Linked DNA regions of Astyanax mexicanus. The protein of the gene in region 2 binds, or shares a complex with, the protein of the main gene of each other region. Links are inferred from orthologs where the notes say so. Each region holds a gene or a part of one and is shown on either strand. Other genes may lie near its edges.

What was found.
Region 1: the proteins of mfsd1 (region 2) and glycosylated lysosomal membrane protein are in contact, whole or in part, in a cryo-EM structure (PDB 8R8Q), measured with the Mus musculus proteins. The link is inferred for Astyanax mexicanus from reciprocal best matches to the Homo sapiens genes MFSD1 and GLMP. Residues at the interface, in NP_080089.1 of Mus musculus: Val288, Glu292, Lys293, Arg295, Phe349, Phe351, Leu411, Asp412, Lys414, Gly415, Tyr416, Leu417, Leu418, Val421, Ile424, Ser428, Leu432, Val435, Leu439; in NP_064387.1 of Mus musculus: Glu250, Asn252, Ser253, Ile254, Asp255, Asp256, Glu257, Pro260, Ala261, Phe263, Gln264, Arg292, Phe364, Leu367, Val368, Ile371, Met372, Ala375, Ala378, Leu381, Met382, Gly385, Phe389.

What each region holds. Positions count from the first base shown.
Region 1 is NW_026040049.1:40,302-47,687, reverse strand, and holds the start of glycosylated lysosomal membrane protein, read right to left. Parts: upstream 3,014-7,386; 5' UTR 2,955-3,013; coding exon 2,868-2,954; intron 2,147-2,867; coding exon 1,886-2,146; intron 1,177-1,885; coding exon 982-1,176; intron 1-981. UniProt on the Homo sapiens protein: Required to protect lysosomal transporter MFSD1 from lysosomal proteolysis and for MFSD1 lysosomal localization.
Region 2 is NC_064411.1:42,769,998-42,777,304, reverse strand, and holds the start of mfsd1 (major facilitator superfamily domain-containing protein 1), read left to right. Parts: upstream 1-4,287; 5' UTR 4,288-4,375; coding exon 4,376-4,520; intron 4,521-4,860; coding exon 4,861-4,913; intron 4,914-6,472; coding exon 6,473-6,585; intron 6,586-7,137; coding exon 7,138-7,180; intron 7,181-7,307. UniProt on the Homo sapiens protein: Lysosomal dipeptide uniporter that selectively exports lysine, arginine or histidine-containing dipeptides with a net positive charge from the lysosome lumen into the cytosol.

The DNA of each region.
Region 1 (7,386 bases), on a different chromosome or scaffold from region 2:
CAATCACTGTACACTGTACAATCACTGTACAATCACTGTACAATCACTGTACAATCACGGTAAGATTACTGTACGATCACTGTATGATCACTAAGATTACTCTACGATCACTGTACGATCACTACAATCACTGTACAATCACTGTACACTGTACAAGCACTGTACAATCACTGTAAGTTTACTGTACGATCACGGTAAGATTACTGTACGATCACTGTATGATCACTAAGATTACTCTACGATCACTGTACAATCACTACAATCACTGTACGATCACTGTACAAGCACTGTACAATCACGGTAAGATTACTGTACGATCACTGTACGATCACGGTACAATCACAGTAAGATTACTGTATGATCACTGTACACTGTACGATCACTGTACGATCACGGTACAATCACGGTACAATCACAGTAAGATTACTGTATGATCACTGTACACTGTACGATTGCTGTAAGATTACTGTACAATCACTGTACAATCACTGTACACTGTACAATCACTGTACAATCACTGTACAATCACTGTACAATCACGGTAAGATTACTGTACGATCACTGTATGATCACTAAGATTACTCTACGATCACTGTACGATCACTACAATCACTGTACAATCACTGTACACTGTACAAGCACTGTACAATCACTGTAAGTTTACTGTACGATCACGGTAAGATTACTGTACGATCACGGTAAGATTACTGTACGATCACTGTATGATCACTAAGATTACTCTACGATCACTGTACAATCACTACAATCACTGTACGATCACTGTACAAGCACTGTACAATCACGGTAAGATTACTGTACGATCACTGTACGATCACGGTACAATCACAGTAAGATTACTGTATGATCACTGTACACTGTACGATCACTGTACGATTGCTGTAAGATTACTGTACGATCACGGTACACTGTACGATCACTATACGTTTACTGTACGATCACTTTACCCCCCTCCCCCCTCACCTGCAGGCAGAGTGAAGCGTTGCTGAAGGCGGAGCTGCTGTCCCTCCCACAGAGCAGGGTGGAGTGGTGCGTGTAGTCCAGGGTGCTGTTCATTTCACTCCAGGTGAAGTTCTGAAGGTCGTAAGGGGGGAGAAAGCTGGACTCGGGGAGATCCTGAGGGTCTGCAGTGTTGTTTACATCATCATATTCCAGCAGCTGAGACCAAAATCAATACACAGATTTCTCACACTCCAGTTCATCACAGAAACGTCTCAGTCTCAGATTACACTGCTATGCTAACGGCTAGGCTAACAGATAAAATTCCATCTGGTTCCATAACCTACCTGTTGTTAAAAGTATTCGGATACTTAGCTGGACTACATTTGTTAATATAAAAATGACTTATAGATTTACATATATTTGACTGTTAACTTAATATTTCTAATTGAAATTTAAAACTGATGTGATTTCAACGTTATGTAATGTTAACAGGTGATTATAATCCTGACTTTATAAAGCAGGAAAAAAGCTGATAGCTGACTTAAGACATGTTTGCCTGAAGTATTTGACAAAATATGGAATGTGTATCAGATTTGAAATGCAAACATGGATGTATATTAATCAATAAAATTGAGTTAGAAGTTTAGTTAAAATATAAAATATCTTCATGCTATCTGTAATCAAACAAAAGTTATTAAATATAAGTTAGTAAATGTAGGAAACACTGGATTTTTAATGTGTTTCCCGAACTGTCATAACGTATGGTCTTCGGGGTTGTAGTCTCTGTGTAAAGTGTAATTTGGGTAGGACAGGGATGTTAAGATATAAACTCTCAATTTTCTAAAAGTGAAACAAACCAGTTGAAACCCTTTGAGAATAACTGGATCCTAAATTGTGACCAGTATGAAACTGAAGCTGGTCTCACCCTGGAGAAGACCAGGGCGCTGCTGTACCGCACGCTGCTCTCCGGCTCCACCCGCACGCTGCCCGGGGTGCGGTTGAGGAAGGCGGTCCAGTTGACGTGGATAAGGGACTCGGTGGAGTTGGTGTGAACCAGCAGAACTGCAGGAGCTCCGTTGCTGCTGAGGAGGAGGTGCAGGGTGTCGTTTTCACCCAGCGCCCGGACATGCAGCAGGTCCACGCCGGGGGACGGTGTCTTCTGTCCAGGGTTCAGCTCCAGAGACACCTGAGGGACAGAGACATCCAACACAATCAAATCAATAATAATAATAATAATAATAATAATAAATAATAATAATAATAATAATAATAATAATAATAATAATAATAATAATAAAAAAAAAATAATAATAATTATAAATTGAGTGTTCACACATCCTTTTCACACATATTACCATTTTCTTATTAACATATGGAAGAAATCTTCCTTTAATTGTTGAATTATCTCACCTTCATGTTTATTTTTTGTTCACTGTTCACATATTTAAAAAGAAAGCTTTATCATTATGTATTTAAAATGTTTTAAAGCTGTTGGGAATGAAGGAGTTAAACTTGTGAATCAAAACAGAAGTGAATCTCATTAATGCAGCAACAACTTCCCTAAAACTGGAGCCAAACCCAACCGTTTATTCTTATTAATACTAATAATACTACTAATACTAATACTAATACTAATAATAATAATAATAATAATCAGCATAACAATCATACCCTGACTTTAGTTTTATATAAAACCATTTATAAATATAAAATGGCCTTTAATAAACGTTTAAAAAACTTTAATAAAGAGTTTTTTTTATAGCAGGAGATCAGAACTGCAGGTTTTTGATTAGAATATTAATATATTTATGATTTTAAGGCGTTTTGGTTTGTTTTGGTCGCTCGAGGTTCAGCAGTTTCTATTAAACTCAATCAAAAAACAATCAGAATAATTTATTAAACTTCACCTTCCGCCGGAAATCATCTCCGCCCCACAGGACTCCGCGCGCGGCGCAGATCAATAAAATATTAATAAAAATCTGAATTTTATCCATAATTTACCCTCCGCTCCACTGCAGTCTCACGAGCCAGTCAGCTGACCCTTCAAAATACAAGTCCCGCTGCGCGCGCACATGCAGCAAAATAAAAGTCCAACGGAAACGTGAGAAATAATAATAATAATAATAATAATAATAATAATAATAATAATAATAATAATAATAATAGGTTTAGATTAAACATTTTTTAAATGTAATAATTAGTCAGATCTGTGTAAGTGTGTCTGGATCGTTGGACCTTAATCTCTGAAGCACTTCCTGTAAACAGTGAGTCAGTTTGGTTGGTTCCAATTCCACATTATTATTGAACCCCCAGAAATTTCACTCATTATTTTCCAAATAAGTTAAAGGTTCCTGAGGACAGAATTCTCCTGTATTAAAATAATCCTGATCCAGAACCTGAGTTCCTGATCCGGCAATTATCGGGTTAAAACACTTCATATAAAGATTTTAGATCTCAGAGGATCATCGATCAGATCCTTTATCTGAATCTAATTTTTTTTTAATCCTACTTATAAAAATCTATTCTTACGTCAGTTTAAACCACACTAGTGTTTATTTAACACTAGACTGTACTGAATGATGGTGCTGATGGTCTGATTTATGTTCCTGTAGCGTCATCTAGTGGCCATTTAATAGAACTGCTCTGCAGCACAGCTTCATCCTCTGCTCTAAATTCAGAATCTACACATTTCTCCATTATTTACACACGAATACAAGGAACACCTTGTTATTCTAATCTATAAAGTTAATTACCCTGCTGTTTACACTGACTGGTCACATGATCAAACACACAACACACAGATTTGCAATCAGCAATCAGAGCTTCAGCATGAAAAAGAAATATGTGAGTTTAGATAAAGTAGAGCAGGAACAGTGTAGCATCATCCATCACCTGGACTTTCAGAAATAAGTATAGATAATGAATCTGCTCTCATTGTTAAACTGCAGTACTGTATTTTAATACAGTGTCATTGAGTACTGTAGGACAGTATTACATGTGGACTGTTCTGTATTTTCAGTTATTTGTGAAATATATTCATACTTTGTGTTCGTACAAATGTACACTGATGTACACTGTCTACATTGTTTTGTGGAAAAATAAAAAATATATATTTTTTACTGTGTATTTGTGTTTTCTATATTATCAAATGTTTTACAAAACAATTATGTATGAGCTGTCTGTAGTAAAGTGTAACACTGAACATAAAAAGGTGTGTGTGTGTGAGAGTGTGTGTGTGTGTGTGTGTGTTTGGTGAAGCGGCTCTGTGTATCTGCCAGAAGGCCTGATGTGGTTACTGTAGATGTGGAGGGTAAATCTGTGTTTCTGATTGAAGCTGCTGTTTTGACTCATCAGTGGAAGAAGCTTTTTGTACACAGATTGTGTAATACCAGCCGCTCGTAGAGTTTATTAATAGTTTAAGTTTAAATGTTCTCTGATTGTGATTATTTTAGGAAGCCTCGGTCGCGTACACCGATTGGCTGTTAGAGGCCTGCAGATCCTCTGCTTCTCTAAGACTAGAGCCAAACGGTTAGCGAGATATTGTTCTATATCTGCAATAATTGGAAGTCGACATATTTGAAGAAAGAGAGGTTTTGTGTATCAATAAAGGCATATGTAAATAAAAAAAACTGATGCTGCATGGTCATGTACTGCTGTTGGATGATGCATTTAAAAAGATTTGGGTCTTTTAATTTTGTATTTTGTAGGCCTAAATAAATGTGTTAAATGTGTCTATGTGTGAGAGTGTGTGTATCAGTGTGTGTGTGTGTGTGAGAGTGTGTGTGTGTGTGTTTGTGTGTGTGTGAGAGTTTGTGTGTCTGTATGTGTGTGTGTGTCTGTGTATGTGTTGTGTGTGTGTGTGTGTAAGAGAGAGCACCTGAGAGTCTTTAATTGACAGTTTGGAGGGAAATTAAGTGGGAATGAAAGTAGCAGATTGCTCTATAAAAAGGATCATTGCTGGTAAAATCTTACCAAAGCGGTTTGGGATCACCAATGTGGTTCTAGTGTTTTTTGGGTTAACCATACTTTGGGTCCAACCTATACCAAGGCAGTCAAGCCGGTCAAGTTTGTTGTCCAACTGAAACGTCTGGGGTCACCTGCAGAGTTTTGTGCCACATAAGCCTAGGTCCTTCCATCCGACCATCCAGAGGTCTGAAATCGCAGTATGTTGTCCAACTAGAACCTCTGGGGTCGCCTGCAGTGTTTTGTGTATCAGAAACCTCCGTAGGCCAAACTCCGTCCCACAAACTCCAAGAGGTCCGACATTGCAGGCAGTTGTCAATGACACAAAACTCGGCAGGCGACCCGGGGGAAAGGAGTTTGGCCTACAGAGGTTTCTGACGCACGAAACTCAGCAGAGTATCCCAGGAGTGCAACATTGATTTCAGACGTCTGAGTGTTCGGGGGAAGGAGTTTGGCCTACGGTGTCTTCTGTGACATGAAAACTCAGCAGGTGCCATTTGGACAACATACTGCTATTTCAGGCCTCTCAGTGGTCAGGGGAAGGAGTTTGGCCTATGGTGTCTTCTTTGATATGCAAACTCAGCAAACAACTCCACAGGTGTCATTTGGACAACATACTTTTCAGACGTCTGAGTGTTTGGGGAAAGGAGTTTGGCCTACTGTGTCTTCTGTGACATGAAAACTCAGCAGGAAACTCCACAGGTGCCAGTTGGACAATCAGTGTTGGGAGTAATGGCGTTAAAACTAACGGCATTACTAATACCGTTACTTCTTTTCAGTAACGAGTAATCTAACTAATTACTATGACTGTAATTATAACGCCGTTACCGTTTCCGACACCCGTTACTGCACGTTACTTTAGCCGCTCTATGAACTTTTTTTTTTTTTTTAACTTCGCTTTGCCCTGGTTAACCCCTCCTCTTTCCGGTAAACTTGAGCTTCTGGCCGCTGTGCCTGTGGTTTGGCGTGGTGAAGTGAGGCACATTTGCTGCTCTAATCAATTCAGTGATTGCCGTGGACAGCCCAAGTTCTGAATTAAGGACGTTAAGCTCTTTTTAGCTGCTCCGGTTTTTGTGGTGCTGCTGCTTTCTCTTTTAGAGCTTATAGATTCTCTGCCCGAACCCGACCTGACCCGAGGACCGACCCGAAATCGGGCTCCTATTTTTATTTTATATAAAGCTCTGATGTGATAATCACAATGTTGCTAAGTAACCAATTATTATTGTTCACTAAAGCGAACGAAATACCGAAAACTGAAAGTGAAAAACATTTGTGTTAACTGAATCTAATAAAAACGGTAATTAAAAGGAAAAAAACAGAACTATCTCGAACTGTATTTTGTGTTTATAAAACTAACTAAAACGAACTGAAATTACTGATAGAATATCCTCATTTCGTGTTTAATTTATTTATAAGCGCTGTTGTACAGCGGAGTTGTACAGCGGGAGTTGTTGTGCCGAGCGCACGGCACTCGTGGTCCGTTAGTTCTTGTAACTAAATACGACAGAAAACACTGAGAAACTGCAGAACTATGTATGGGATTACAATATGAGCACCAGGCAGATAAAAGAGAAACAGGAGATACAGTGTGAAAACATTTACCTGTGAGTAGCTCATACCAGAACAAGCAAATATCTCTCTCTCTCTCTCTCTCTCTCTCTCTCTTTCTCTCTCACGTTTATTAGATTGATCTCTCTGATGAGTGTGATGTGTGAAAACTAATAAAAACTAGCAAGCCCACCCTAAAAACTTACTGAACAGAAAAAATAAATAAATAACTAAAATTAAACTATAATAAAAATGAAAAATGCGTTTGACTTGCAGCATTGTGTGTAGCTGTTCTTAAAAATTATTTAAATTAAATAATAGTTCTATGCTTTTATGTTACAGTGTTAATTAACATAATTCTGATTATATTTCTCTCATTCAATCAGCCCGAAAACAGACAGTTTATGGGGCGGATCGGGTCAGGCTCGGGCTCATAATGACAGTTCATGGTTCGGGCTGGGTCGGGTCGGATTTTTTGGGCCCGATCTAAGCTCTATTCTCTTTTAAAAACGGTCATTAGATTGATGTTTTTGTCCATTATTTTGTTTTATTTATATATACATATTTCCTTTGAGTGTGGCTTGGTTTGTTTAATTTCATCCTCAGACGCGTTTTTCCGTTTTTTTCGGTTTTTTTCAGTATTACAAGTTTTAGTAATTTTCTTTGGTTCTGTGGAGAATTTCGTTTTGTTTTTTTGAAATTCGTTAGATTATATTTTTGTCAACATTTTGGGTTAATTTTCGTTTGTTATTTTTCTAATAATAATAGTAAATGCATAATTGATTTCCTTTTTTTGACGGGCGAATAATAAAAAGTAACGCATAGTTACTTTTACTGGTAACTAGTTACTTTTATAGTGGAGTAACTCCGTTAGTAACTCAGTTACTTTTTTGGAGAAGTAACGAGTAACTATAA
Region 2 (7,307 bases):
GGGGGCATTATATTATGCACAAAAATAATAACGTGCTGCTTTTAAGTAGTAGAGTAGGTGCCCCATGCAATGTTTAAAGACAAAAAAGATGAGCGTATCATAAATAATTCACATTGGGTTTTAAATTTAATAATGTCATAATTCTGTCATTTCATTCTCAGTCAATTTGGCTCCCTGCAACTGCAAAATGGTTGAGGCCTAACGCTGGCTGCGTTGTCTGCGTATGCAGAGCGGCGGCCCTGATTACAGTCGTAAGTACTGTTATTTTTTACCCTGATTGTAAAGAGTTACAGATGCATCAGTAGCTGGGTAGAACAATATGAATATGACTGCTGTCTAAATAAATTAAAAAGGCATTTTTTTTTTACGGCAGCCTCACGCTGACACAGGGTCCCAAGCAGTGATGTTATTAACGCGTTACTCTAATCTGACTCTTTTTTTCAGTAACGAGTAATCTAACTCGTTACTATTTCCAATCCAGTAATCAGATTAAAGTTACTTATCCAAGTCACTGTGCGTTACTCTCGCTCTCTCTCTCTCTCTCTCTCTCCACCTCACACACACACACACACACCGCGTTCCCTTCCCCATCCCCCTCCGCTCTCCCCCAATCACACGCGTCTCGCTTTCTCCCCTGTCTCTCTCTCTCTCGCGCTCGGCGTGTTTTTAGTTTCCGCCCATTCTCGTTTTTCCGCCAGTTCTCGGGCTCCCTATCTCTTTATAAAGGCGGGTTTTCCCGGCCACGTCCCAATTCACTAGCCAGGGCAGCGGTCTGCACAGATCTGATTGGCAGAGGAGAGCGTTTGAAGATTTTACACCACACGTGATTGGTCTGTGAGTTTCCCATGCCGCAGAGTGCGTATACCGTAAAGACAAGAAAAGTTCTGACGCTTTAAATGAACACTGTCAAAATTAAATCCTTCTCAGTAGTTTATCGGTTTGGGTCCGCATTGGACAACGTCTGACCGCAGTCTGCATATATGTGATCCCTGGCCTCGACCATATACACGGTTTTGTTTTATCAAACCACTCCTTGCTGCCCTGCAGAGAACAACAGGTTCAATATTCAGTTTTACAGTGTTAAATATGTCAGGTCAAGAAAGACTTTCTTTATTTTATATTTTTTTTATAAAAACAAGTATTTATGTTAAGTGAAATCAAGAAAGACCATATTTTATTTTTTATAAAAAAAAATATTTATGTTAAGTTAATTCAAGAGAAATGGTCTTTTAATTTTATAAAAATAAATAGTTCAACTTTAAATGTCTAGAGATACATTGATGCTGTTAAAAATGCTTTTTCCAATAAAGGGAGTATTGGCAAAACTGGTTATAATTTTTATGTTAAGGCGGCGGGACGTGGTGTGTGCAGCTGCTTAAAGTAACTTGTAAAGTAACTTAGTTACTTTTAAAATCAAGTAATCCATAAAGTAACTAAGTTACTTTTTAAAGGAGTAATCAGTAATCGGATTACTTTTTCAAAGTAACTATACCATCACTGACTGTGACCCTGCTGGGTGACAGGAATGACTAAGGTTGTTGACCATCACGAGCATCATGAGCCTGTAGGTTGACCACAATGACCATTGTAACCATATTTGGTGACCATTATGAGCACATTGGTTGCCCAGCATGACCACTGTGACTATGTACATGGGCCACCATTACCAAGATGGTTAACCAGTGAATACCAAGATGGTTGACAAATGTTAATCAAGATGGTTGACCAGTCTTGACTAAAATGGATAACCAGCACATAGATCAACCATGATGGCCACGCTGGTCAATTACCATGACCAAGCTGAATGACGAGCATGAGCAGATATTAGCAGAATGAACAAGGATGTTAACAAGCATGACCATTATAAGCAGGCTGGTCGAATAGCATGACCATTGTGACCAAGTTGGTCAACCACTATGGCCACGTTAACCAACAACCATAACCAAGCTTTTAAAGCAGCATAACCAGCCTGAGCACTTTATTCCAGCACTATGTGACCAGTTTCCCTAGATAATGAACTGAATATTTGATTAAATAATTGAGATGTCAGTTACCTGTATGGGTCTAAGTCTTTTAGACATCCTAATGCTCTTAAAACCGCAGGACCAGATGGCTTCCATGCCCTTCTCTGGAAATATTTCAATAAAGAGTCAACCCATCCTTCAGAAATGAATGCACTGGATGCACATATGGCACCAACAGCCTGGGGGACATATGTGCCCCTGCTACTAAGAAATCATGCCCCAGGGGATGTAGTGATTTTCGGCCTGTGACCTTGACAAGTGTATTTATGAGGTCACTGGAGATTTGTTTCTTATTTATTTATCCTTGAGAAATCTTTATTACATTGTGTATATACAGTATATGTGTTTATGTAGGTATGCATTTTGTGTACACACTTGTTCCGGCTGGATAAGTGCTTGATTGGCAAAGGAAGTGTTGCAATCTGGTGGAGATATTCCTATAAAACCTTTGCTGTATAAGTTGGAGCATTATCCTGCTGAAAAATGAAAGTTGGAAGCCCTGCCATATGAGGCAACCCTTGTGGCTGCAGGATGTCACGCACATATCATTAAACTGTTAGTGTCCCTAGTATTACTACCCAGATCATCACACCATTCAAACCTGAAGACAACTATCGTCAGATACTAAACAGGACCTGGATTTGATGCTAAAACAATATGGTTTATGGTATAATGTCATTCTGTAACCATTTACACCCCTAATAAAATGTTTATTAAATGTAGATGTTTGCATTTTGTGTGATACACAGGTTGGAGTAGGAATATAGAAGATAAATGTTGGGTAAGGTGAGGTAAGATATCTACTCTGTTGATGTAATTGTATTTCTTTCTCATAAAAAGGCTGTTGCCAGGGCTCTACTCACAAACACTGATTGATGGGCAGTGACAGAATGTGCATTTAAGGTCAAACTGTCAAATTCACAACATGAAGGTGACATCTGCCAAACATATCAGCTTACAGATGTGAATACTGGCTTTTATAAACCCCAGTCACAAATCAAATAGAAAGGAAGGTTAACAACAACAACCAAGACCTCTATAGACTTGTAATGGCCCAAAATACTTCTAGGTAGAATATTTATCAAATTACCACAGGAACATTTTCCTGTCCTGCACACCCACTTCAATAATGGGCTGTTAATAAGCTAAATAGTATGAACAGGTGTGTTGGAAGCAGGGAAAACTAAAGGCATTGGGCCTCAAAGACCAAGCAATCGAGCTGACCCTATAAGAAATTCACACTGTTCCCGTCTTGCCTTTCACTCTGCAAACTTTCCACTGCTTTCCAATACTGTACTTTTACTTTCAGTAAAATAAACTACCTTACCACACTTACGTGTGGTGATTAAAGGACACTTGTACTTTTAAGTCTGAGTCTCTTGTACTTTATACACATCAAATATACATTATATAAAAGAATATACATTCAACATACATTATACTGAAGAACATGCAATTTATATACATTAAACAAACTTTATACTTAGGGACATGTATGTTTACTTACAATATACTAAAGAAAATACATTATACTGAAGAACATACGTTACATTTTACATACATTAAACACACATTATAATAAAAAAATCAAAACTTTCACGTATATTTAACACACATCATACTGTAGAACATATATTTTTTACATACATTAAACACATACTATAGAACATATATTTTATATGCATTAAACAAACTTTATACTTAAGAACATGTATGTTTACTTACAATATACTAAAGAAAAAAACATTTTACACACATTAAACATGCATTATACTTAATAACTTGTATATTTACTTAAACTTTACTGAAGAAAATACATTTTATATACATAAAACAAACACTATACTTAGAAACATGTTTTTTTACTTAAACTATACGAAAGAAATTTCATTTTACATATATTAAAAATGCACTCCACTGAAGAACATACATTAAACACACATTATACTTAGTAACTTGTATTTTTACTGAAACTTTACTAAAGAAAATACATTTTATATACATTAAACAAACATTAAACTTAGGAACATGTATGTTTACTTGCAATATACTAAATAAAATACATTTTACATACATAAAACAAACACTATACTTAGAAACATGTATTTTTACTTAAACTATACTTAAAAAAATCATTTTACATACATTAAAAATGCACTTCACAAAAGATAATACATTTTACATACATTAAACACACATTATACTGTAGAACTTAACTATTTCCGGATATAAAACTGAAACTGTTCGTAGTCATATGACTCCTGAGTGTGCAGTCACATGACTCAGGATCCGCACGGCTCTGCTGTAGAGCTGCTGTATGAGAGAGCTGCTGTTTTAACATAGGGAGGAGAATGGCGGGATTAGAAGAAGACGAGAGGCTTTTAGATGAAAATAATCATGAGGGGAGAAACACAAGGCGGATGCATCCTCTGCTGGACCCGAGCCACCTGCTGCACCGGATCTTGGTCCTGATGTTTATGTGTTTTTTAGGTTTCGGTAAGTGGGGTAGTGGGGTTCCGGGCGCGTCACTGTTGTTTTTAGCTTCAGTAACACCAGCAAACTAGCTTAAAAGTCCTTTGTTTACATTCAGCTGACTCCGTATCATTAGGCTGTATTAAATGTGTTATTCAGTGTAGTAAGTGTGGCTAGCTACACTGTGCAGAAGTAACGTTAAATCAGCTGTTAGCTAGTTAGCTAACGTTAACTACAGAAACACTGCTGCTAAATAACTAGAACAGTTGTGCTACGAAACGGTTTTTTGTATTACTTCCACACTGTGTATTAAAGTAAAAATCTATGTCGGAATTTAACAGCTTAATGTCCTTTTATTTTACAGGTAGCTACTTCTGCTATGACAATCCAGCAGCTCTTCAGAAACAAGTCATACAGGTCAAAGGACTTTTATTGTGTAGAATAGCTTTATTGTGATTTGTATTGAGCTGCTGTTCCTCTTTATATGCAAATATTTCATTTGCTTCCCTATTCTTACTCGTTTTTTCTCTAAATAATTTTGTCACTTTAGTTTGCTAGTCATTTGTGTGTCCTAGGCACAAAATGATTTGAATTAAAAATTACTCTTTAATATTAATGTTTTGATAAAACACTAGCTAAACTAGGCAGCAGCAAAGATGGCTGTGTCCCAAAAGCTGTATTAGGCCAATTAGCCAAACCACGCATTAGGACTCACCCTATCATTGGTGTTGCCCCAACACCAGAAGGGTGAAGACTAGCACATGCCTACACATTTTAAGTCAGCCACTGCCACTGTTTCTGATGCAGCATTTCAGAGCAGCACCACAGTGTGCTCGGAGGAAAGTGCAGCGACTCTTTCACGATACATCAGCTCACAGACGCCTTGTGTTGAGTGATATCACCCATTGGAATGATGAGGGTAAAGAGCGCCACTGGACCACTTGTCACCCTACATTCAGGGCTTGTTTAATTTTTTTGTGGCCCTGGAAGTCCAGGCCTTGTGACACCCCTGATTATGATCATTATTTTTATGATGATTTTTCACAAGACTGATTTTTTTGGTGCCCTCCGCATAGTGAGCACTGATTTGTATTGTGTGAATTGTTTCTAGAGATTTTGGTCATTGTATAACTGCAATATATGTGAGCTTCTTTGCTGGGTGATTCAGAGTAGTTTTATGTAAGTAACATAATACAGGAAGATGGTAAACTCTGCACCTAACTACTAGAGTTACATATAGGGCTTAGCAAGGATGTATTGTTATTCACCCAACAAACAACAAAAACCACGACAGCTAGAATCTGATACCGATTCAACAAGAATCCAGAAGCTCAGCATAACAGTGTATGTTTATGCTCCCCTGCTAAGTACTCAGACCTAAAGTGAAAATGAAACCATACTGTGACAAAATACTTCCAAGAACATAGACAAAACACTTCTTAGTCTGGACCATATCAGCATACAATCAACCATGGCAGTCTACTTGGGTACACAAATGGGTACAAAATTGGGTACAAAATGGGTACACAATCATTTACATTTCAGAGTTGTGTAATCAGAACACAGCAACAGCTACAATCTGATACTGGCACGACAAAGATCTAAAAGCACAGCGTACAAGGGACGGGTTAATGGTCCATTGCCTCAGCTGCTGAGTACTTTGTAGTTTAGAATTAGCATTACATTTAAATAATTATTCTTTATTATGTTAATAACTACACACTATCCATTAAATGTAATGTTACATCATCCAGCACCTCCAGCATCCAGCTTTTAAGAGAGAGTCTGCCTATCCATAGTGCGACCATTTCTGATTAAAGTTAGGATCCAGCTACATCCATTACATATGGCGTCCACTCAGATGTTTCTTCCAGCAAGTTATAAAGTTACATAGTCCAAAGTCTGTAACTAAACATGGCACTCTTGGTAATTTGTGATTTTGGTTTGATTATCTTTCTCTCTCACTTTGTCTGCAGGATATGGGACTAAACACCTCCAGCTTTATGCAGCTTTATGCCTGGTACTCATGGCCCAATGTAGTCCTCTGTTTTCTGGGAGGCTTTCTACTGGACAGAGTTTTTGGCATCAGGTGAGCACACTCTTTTGTGTTTTGTACCAGTAAAAAGTTCAGTCTACAGTGAATAAAAAGTTGCTGAATACAAATTACTGAATATCTTGTAATTGATGTTATACATTGACATCGTACACACGGCACTGTGGATCAAGGAATGTTAAATGCCCACACAAGTGTCAGTGTTAGTGTTCCCAGTCTGTCCCCGGAGTTAAAACTTACACGGTTTCCACCATGCTTTTTGGCATGTCAGTTTAATTATTGATTAAAACAGTGCTTCTGCTGATCATGGTAAGATTAAAATAATCTATTTTATGATGTATTTTCATCTTTTAGGAGTTTGTAGCTTTATTACTTAAATAAATGCTTTCCATTGCAGTATGTTTTAAATACACATCACTGTACGTAGCATGGTAAAATGGTGTTTAAAGGATCTTGTGTTACTAATTCATTTTTGCGAACATTGTGCATTGTTTTCAAGATAAATACAGTATCACATATTGTTATATAATATTTGTATCATATCGTCCAGCCCTAAGTAAGAGTAACATGAACCTCTATTCTTTCTAGGCTGGGGACAATAATCTTTTCACTCTTTGTCTGTGTTGGACAGGTAGGTGCACATCACCTTTTAATTATTGTGTGTTTGTGTGTTTTGATTGTATGTTTGAATTTAAATGATAGATGCTTGAAACTTGTAGCGTGAAGTGACCACTCCTAGGAAAAAAAAAACAACTGTA